2 linked regions of the Oryzias latipes genome follow. The protein of the gene in region 1 interacts with the protein of each later gene in a pairwise test. Links are inferred from orthologs where the notes say so. Each region holds a gene or a part of one and is shown on either strand. Other genes may lie near its edges.

What was found. The genes of interacting proteins can lie anywhere in the genome.
Region 2: the proteins of tepsin (region 1) and ap4b1 interact in binary tests that used the Homo sapiens proteins (3 or more experiments, as listed by UniProt). The link is inferred for Oryzias latipes from reciprocal best matches to the Homo sapiens genes TEPSIN and AP4B1.

The regions. Positions count from the first base shown.
Region 1 is NC_019877.2:3,984,037-3,988,089, reverse strand, and holds the start of tepsin (AP-4 complex accessory subunit tepsin), read right to left. Parts: upstream 2,812-4,053; 5' UTR 2,728-2,811; coding exon 2,689-2,727; intron 2,421-2,688; coding exon 2,348-2,420; intron 2,220-2,347; coding exon 2,128-2,219; intron 2,046-2,127; coding exon 1,952-2,045; intron 1,869-1,951; coding exon 1,801-1,868; intron 1,716-1,800; coding exon 1,634-1,715; intron 694-1,633; coding exon 622-693; intron 469-621; coding exon 277-468; intron 153-276; coding exon 1-152. Other genes in the region: ndufaf8 (NADH dehydrogenase [ubiquinone] 1 alpha subcomplex assembly factor 8), read left to right, coding at 3,136-3,216, 3,999-4,053. UniProt on the Homo sapiens protein: Associates with the adapter-like complex 4 (AP-4) and may therefore play a role in vesicular trafficking of proteins at the trans-Golgi network.
Region 2 is NC_019865.2:4,816,792-4,820,308, forward strand, and holds part of ap4b1 (AP-4 complex subunit beta-1), read right to left. Parts: intron 498-3,517; coding exon 290-497; intron 217-289; coding exon 1-216.

The sequences.
Region 1 (4,053 bases):
GGCTCCCGATTGGCTCCTTGTTCCAGCTGACTTGCTGCCCAGAGACGCCCTGCTATCCGCACTGATGTCCTGAGAGGAGTTGTGGGAGGAGCCATTGCTGCTGTCAGTCTCCTCCCAGCCACCGCCTACCTGCCCCGGACACCATTGTAACACTATTGATGTGTAAAACAAAAAGGCATAAAAAAACCCCACAAATTTTAATTTAAAAATATGAGAGATACCATCCATTTGTCGTCTAAAGGTTTCTTCTCAAACTGGCGTCCTTAAATGTCTGACCTTTTGCTTTGCTTGCAGGGTGGTTGTATGCGCACGCTGGAACGGCGACTTCTATGGGTGCAGATGGGGCAAAGACGGCGCGGTAATGGTTATCGTGGAGGCGGAGGCCCTGTTGTTCCGTGGGGGGAAGGACAGCGCTGGCCACGACCTCCGCAGCTTTTTGGATCTTATCCAGGAGTGATTCGCTGGCTGCTGCGAGACACAGATGTTAGAACAGAGGTTCAGAGGAAAATGAGAATCCCAGACGGCCCTCTTTGCAGAGGAGATTGACAAAAACTCTCCTTTTAAGGGTTAAGAAAAAAATATATATATTTTTGCCCTGCTCTGCATTGATCAACATATCACCTGTTCCTTGTTTCCCTGGACTATATCCAAAACCCTGCAGTGCTGACCTGTGGGACAGAGCTGATCCCATACCTGGACAGAGAAAATAAAGAAGTTATTGGAGGGAAATATCTACATGAACAGAATATCTTCAATGTAAAGTGATCATTTCTATTCCAAATAAACAAAAACACAAGTTAAAGCTTTGATTTTGAATAATAATAACCCTGCATAGCAGCCATAAATGCAGCTGAGTAGAGAAGGAATCAGAATCCTTTATTGTCATTGGTGATACAATGAAATTGTAGCAGCCTGGGAGTGGTGGAGATAAAATAGAATAAAATAAAAATACTGTAACTCACATTTCTAATCAAAATATGTACAATATGTACAGAAACAATGAAATATTAAATACGTAAGAACAAAATAGAATGGAATGAGTTGAGTTGCCATAACCGGACATTACTGGTGCAATAAAAATGTCGAGCACTTTTGTAGCTATCTAGCCATATAGGTTTGAATCAGACGCCAGCTCCATGACAAAAACGAAGACATACGTGGATCTAGTCGTCTACAAGAGGATGAATCAGAAGGGAGCGGAGCAGGGAGCTTGTGGAGTTATTTTTATTTATTTTTTTACATTCTGTCTTACAGTTAAAGTTTGTCTATGATGGACATTATAACCAAACTTATCTTTTTACATAAAAAAAACCCTACAGAATCAGTGACTGACAAATACTTTCTGCCCCGATATAAAAAGTCAAAACAGGAGCTGGTTTAGCTCGTGCTGGTTTGCGGCGCCTTCCATCCGTGAAACCAGGGTTCGACTCCGGGCTGCTCCCTGTTCCCTTCTCTACCTCTGTGCCGGTCCCAAGCCCGGTTTGAGAAGGTTGCGTCAGGAAGGGCATCCGGCGTAAAACATTGCCAAATTTACCATGCGACTAGTTCGCTGTGGCGACCCCTGATGGGAGAAGCCGAAAGTGGAAGAAGAAGATAAAAAGTCAAAACACAGGTAAACCTAAATTCTACTCACCCATTCCTGGAGGGGCAATAGTGTGTGAAGACATGCTGCTTTTGGTATTAAATGAATCTGTGAAAAGTAATTGAGCCACTTCCTGTAAATGTAAACAATTAACACCTAGTAAGTAAATTCCAACTCAGTTTATAAACCAGGTAAAAAGAATACACCCAGTCTCGTACCTGTGCCGTACTCCTTACTTTCTGGTAAAGTGCTGAGCCATGGATGGGATCAGGAGGACCACTGTAAACTTATAAATGGACATTTTTCAACTTTAAAACCCCATTATCACGTGATACCTATGATATATTCCAGTGGTACAATCTCTTATACCTGATGCTTGCTGGATGAAGGTGGAGTTTCTTCTGAGTTCTGTAAGGAAATGATCTGAACCATGACCACAAAGGTGGACAAAAATCTTTAGCACCTTCAATAACCAGGAGGAGAACAGAGGTTACACTCAGTTAGATGAATGCAGAAATGAGTCTATGCCCAGATGTTGTTCTCACCTTAAGTTTGACGTGGCAGGACTCGACTTGCAGTCTCTCCAGGAGGTATTCAAGCAAACACTGACCACAACCCAAGGACTCATGGGATATTTCTAAAGTGTAATGGCAGTTAAGGGCATACTTTAGTAGTCAGTGTGTGTATTAAATGGAACAAGTTTTGCTTATCCGAAAAACAATGAAAACATTTTTTCCCCTTGATTAGGCCACCAACAAAGGATACTTCCAATCTCCTGAAAAAGGTAACCAGGACAGGGGTTTTCATCATCTGCTGTTGCCTTCATTAAGGTGGGAACCTGCAATAATTATGAGAAACTATCAACTTTTATTTATTAAAATAATGCTTCCAGCTTTAAAATCGTAGAAAATAATCTACTACTTTAATGGGTATTTAGAGACCCTAGCCTAAAATAAACACCATGCTAAAGAGTAGCAAGCAAGCTAGTAGTTAGCTAGCTAGGTAACTGCTACAAACAGGGGCGTCAAGCTACGTCGAGTCCGCCACGCGCTCCCAAAAAATCAACAGTTTTGTCTAGAAGCAAATTTTTTCCGAACTTTACTTACTTTTTGAATAAAAGCTAATCGTTCCAAAAATGTAGCCATGATTTAGCAGGTGTAGCCGCGGGTTCCTCATCTTTCTGAAGCTACTATAAGGAGGGCGTGGCTAAGGTGACAGGCAGCCAATCACCCTCATTACTTTGAGTCCTCCTCTACGTTCATTGGCGGATATTGGCACGCCTTAAACTGGATGACAACGAATCAGATACTGCGAGGGGAGTCACCCACTTTAGATTGACAGCAATATAAGCCAATCATAATATCTAAAAATGTAGAAAGGGAAGGTTTTAAATGACAGGGTCATCAAAATGGCGCTACCCGTAGTTTACACGAATTTTAAGCCTTTTTTATGACATTTTTTCCTCGTAAACATGCTCTAAGATTCCTAATCTAATACTCAAATAAAAGCCTATATGTGTTTTAAGGTTTAAAGACATAGATGCATATAGCAGCATGTCGGGCTCAAATGTTTGGACCAGAAGCCGGGAGAAAATGAGAAATTTCAGCGACATCTTTTCAAAGTGTGCCGACGAGGTGAGCCTTCTCAAATTAGTATTTTTCATCTTAATCTTATTTTGGTTAAAATATTCAGTACATAAATATGCAATAATAAACAAACTGTTTTGGGTGACTAAATATCGCATCAGTAGAAGAGTGGCATTATTTTGTCTGTTTTCTTGGATTCTAGCTTTGTTTTGCACAATTTGAGACTAAAGATTTGCGAGATAACTGCTGATCATTCTGGCCTGTTGACTATAAAAACCTCTACTTTGCATTTTCCAGCTGTTTTACCACAGCTGGGGTTACAAATGTGAACATTTATGTGTGAAATTGTCATTTCATGCACTCCTCTTTTAGAATATTTATTGAGCCCCTAATTCATTGGGAATTATTTGATACTGAAAAATACTTTAGTATCTGTTTAAGTTCAGGTGTAAATAGGAACTCAAATTATGATGCAACCACCACCATGTTTCATAGATGGAAAGCAGTTCATCTAACTACAAAATTAAAATTCTGACACTCATTAGAGGTATGCTATTATTTTTTTATATTTCTATACAAAATTCTCGATGTTAAAACATATTTTTACGTTTAAAAATATAATTATAAAGGTTCAACTCCATTTGCATTAAAGTATAAATCTTGGAGACATGTAAAAGTTTGTTTGCACAAATAAGTTAGATTTTCAGTATTTAACAAAAAAATATTTACAGGAAAACTAATTCAAGAAAACTTTGTACCGTCCATATTTGTGTAATTTTATTCTTTTTGGTGAGATTTGTTTTTCTTAATACAAAGCTGTTGTGTTGCAGGCTGCAGCGTATGGAAAGTGTGTCGCAGCAACAACGGCAGGCAGACAAGAGCTGA
Region 2 (3,517 bases), on another chromosome or scaffold:
CTGTTTGTGTCACGGTGCCACCCTTCTTCAGCGGCTCCAGGGTGTTGAAGCTACACGCCCACTGGCTGATGGGCTCCGCTGGGCGACCAATCAGAACGCCCAAAGAAGGGTCCGACCTCCTGCCCTGGAGGACATTCCGTGTTTCTTCTACCCCGCATTTCAGCAGGTGGTAGTAGAGAAGCCCCAGGTCTCTCACACACATGTCCGTCTCCTCCTCTGAGATAAAGAAATGCTTTAACAACCATCTACATTTGTATCTCCTTCTCTTTTTTTGTACACTTACACACACCTATACAATAGTGCAGCAGTCTTCCTAGCATGTCTTGGGTCTCTGCAGGCCGGGTCAGAAACAGCCTCATGGTGGCCGTCAGAAGCTCCATCTTTACTCCCAAAGAGACTTCACTCCTCACTCCGTCAATGAATGCTTCTAAAGTGTAGGGGGCGCTGGAAACCCCATCTCCGTACACACCCAGAAGCCACAACAAGGCCTGCCTGCCCTGGAGACAGATACGGACAGTAAAAGGAACATTTAGGTTTCTAGAAGCAACACAATGCTGGCAGAGCTTGATCATCATCATCATTTCCTTTGAAGTTTTAAAGTCCCACTCCTTTTTTCAAAGCGTTCCCAGTGGTTGGTGTGGAGCAAGCCCGCCCCCACTTCCCGTCATCCATCTGTTTACACCCTCTCCTGTTAGCTTACAGCCCCTCACACCCCCAACCTAATATTAGCGGTACAACAAAAATGGTTAGAAATATTGGAGCTATATTGGAGCAGAGCAGGGAGCTTGTTGCCTGCCGATCACAAATAAACTCTTTTTGAAACTCAATTTTTTTTATCTGCTCCTGATTCTCACTATTTGAAATAAAAAATACTCAGAAATGCAATTTCTTCATATGTTCTTAATGAACAGGAAAGGACACGAGAACACAAAAACACCATTAAAGAGATAAAACAAACAAAAAAATGTAACAGTTTTTCTAATTATAAACGAGAAACTAATATCAACTGATCCTAAATGAAAAAGTTAAATTTAAAAATCTGGGCATTATGATCGTGCTTTGATGATTGGCAGGTGGATTGACCCAACAGGGCTTCAATCTTCCCTTTGTTCAATCAAACTGACTTTTTTTTAATGCTGTTAAGGTGGGCGGAGTCACTAGTCTCTAAGAGAAAATATGGACAGATCACTTAACTTAAGAAGCATGTTTTTGGACTATAGGAGGAGATCTGAAATCTCGGAGATAACCCATGCATGCATGAAGAGAACATGCTAAGTTGACAAAGAAAGAACCCAGCTGGGAGTCAAACCAGGGTATGTCTCATTTTATAATAGTGCAAACCACTACACCACCGTGCAGCCCTGTGTCCTGACAAAACTCCAAATATGTGAACCCGACTTAATGCTCATAAATGTCATTCGAAGGTACATCTGTGCTGAGAAATGTGGGCAATGTGTGCTTTGGTCTCACTTCAGGAGGATCTGAACGAATTTCTGAATGGTTCTTTTTCCTCATAATCTCCAGGAAAGTATTTTTGACAGACCACATAATCCCTAATCCACATTTATCTCCACAAGTGAGTTAAACTCTAAACAGAGATGAGGGAAATGACAGTAAAAGGACAGAGAACATGAAGTATATTTAGTAGCAGTGAGGCAGACTGTTTAACATATGTGTCTATCTGAGTGAGTGTGTTTATGCTTTGTGCGCCTTTCTAAAATTATCAACAAAAGTCAAATTCTTGTTGCTGAGCCAAGTCAGACTCAGATCTATTTTCTGCGGTGTAAAAGTTAGAGACTTTGGCTTTCATGGAGCTGACAGTGAAACAGAGGTCTGAAAAGGTGAAACTTAAGCAGACTTTATACTTTAATTACCCGTATCTGAGTTTGCAGATATAAACATAAAAGTTTCTAAAATCTATAAGGGAGCTGTAACTCTTCATTTTAGAGAAACTTGGATTTCTATATACGCTCTATAAGCTGGTGAGGCTGGTTCGAAAGTGTTTGAATACATCAATAATTTTACTCGGTCAGCACACTTTCACTGTCACAGTATTAACCATCTCCACCCCTCTCTCTCCCTACATCCATGTCCATCCACACCTCTGTTACCCCCATCTTGTTTACAGTAACTCCTTTCACTTTGGTCTTCACTGACTGAATATGAGAACTGGACTGAGTGGTTCCCTCCACCCCCTGGCGTTCGAAACAGGAACACCGGCCGTTCCAGTTTGACAGCCGAACGTTTCGGCCACACAAAGGAATCACAACTTTAAAGAGCTCCTGTGGCGCTTTTGAGCCTCCAGGCCGCACCGGCTTTCCAGCCACCAGGCTGCACCAGCTCTCCAGCCTCCAGGACATACCAGCTCTGCAGCTACCACCAGGCCAAAGCTGCTCTCCAGTAACAACTGGACTAGGCTATTTTTCCTCCTGGTCTTGACTGCTTCTTCATTTCCCTGTCTCTTGTTTCTGGAGGTATTTGCTCAAAATGTTTTTCATGTGTTATGCGTTATGGATTTTATGTCTCCTTGGACCCACAGAGATTTCATTGAATCTTGCCTCTGAGAGTATAATTTCTCCAACAGTTTTACAATATTCTTCAACTAAAGTCTATGAAGAAGAAAAATATCAGATCTGTCCAATTCCATATCGCATCCCCAAAGCAACATTTCAATATGTTGCACCTCAGAATTGGTTACATTTTATCTCTAACGGAACAAATTTTATCATGAACAAACACATTCATAGATTAAAATGTAATGTAATGTAAAAAAAATTAGAGCCTCAGGCTTTCTTTCATGATCTTTACAACTGTGATATTCATCGCATTAAGTTAATTCAAGATGTAGAATGCGCCTGGCAACATTTTCATGAGACTTTTTTAAAAATCTGTAACAAACATGCCCCTGTCAAAAAATGTCGGATTTCTGGGCGAGATAATCCATGGGTCACAAAAGAACTTTTACACATGTTCAGAGAAAGAAATGCTGCCTGGACCAAAGCAAGATTTACTAATTCAAACTCTGACTGGATCACCTTCAGAGCCCTGAGAAACAAATGCACCTCTTTGACTCGGAAAACTAAATCTGATTTCTACATAAATTCTATTTCAACAAATCTTAAAAATCCCAATAAATTCTGGAAACAAACCAAAATGTTAACTGGACAAAATGTGAAATCAACTACACCAGCAAACCTTGTAGTGAACTCTGTTGCTATACAACAGAAAGAGGAAATTGCAAAACAATTTAACAAACATTAGTTCCTCTTTTATCTTCACCAGTGTCTGGTCATTCAGATCCTCTATTACTGCGTCTTCTGCATCTTTTCATGCAATCAAATTTGTCATTCAACCAATTTCCAATTCAGAGTTGTTACAGTCTCTGAAAGCTATTGACCCAAAACAAACTCCTGGTCCAGATGATTTAGACCCCTACTTCTTAAAACTTGCAGCTGATTTTATTGTTGAACCCATCGCCCATATTTTTAATCTGAGTATTCAGTCAAACGTAATTCCC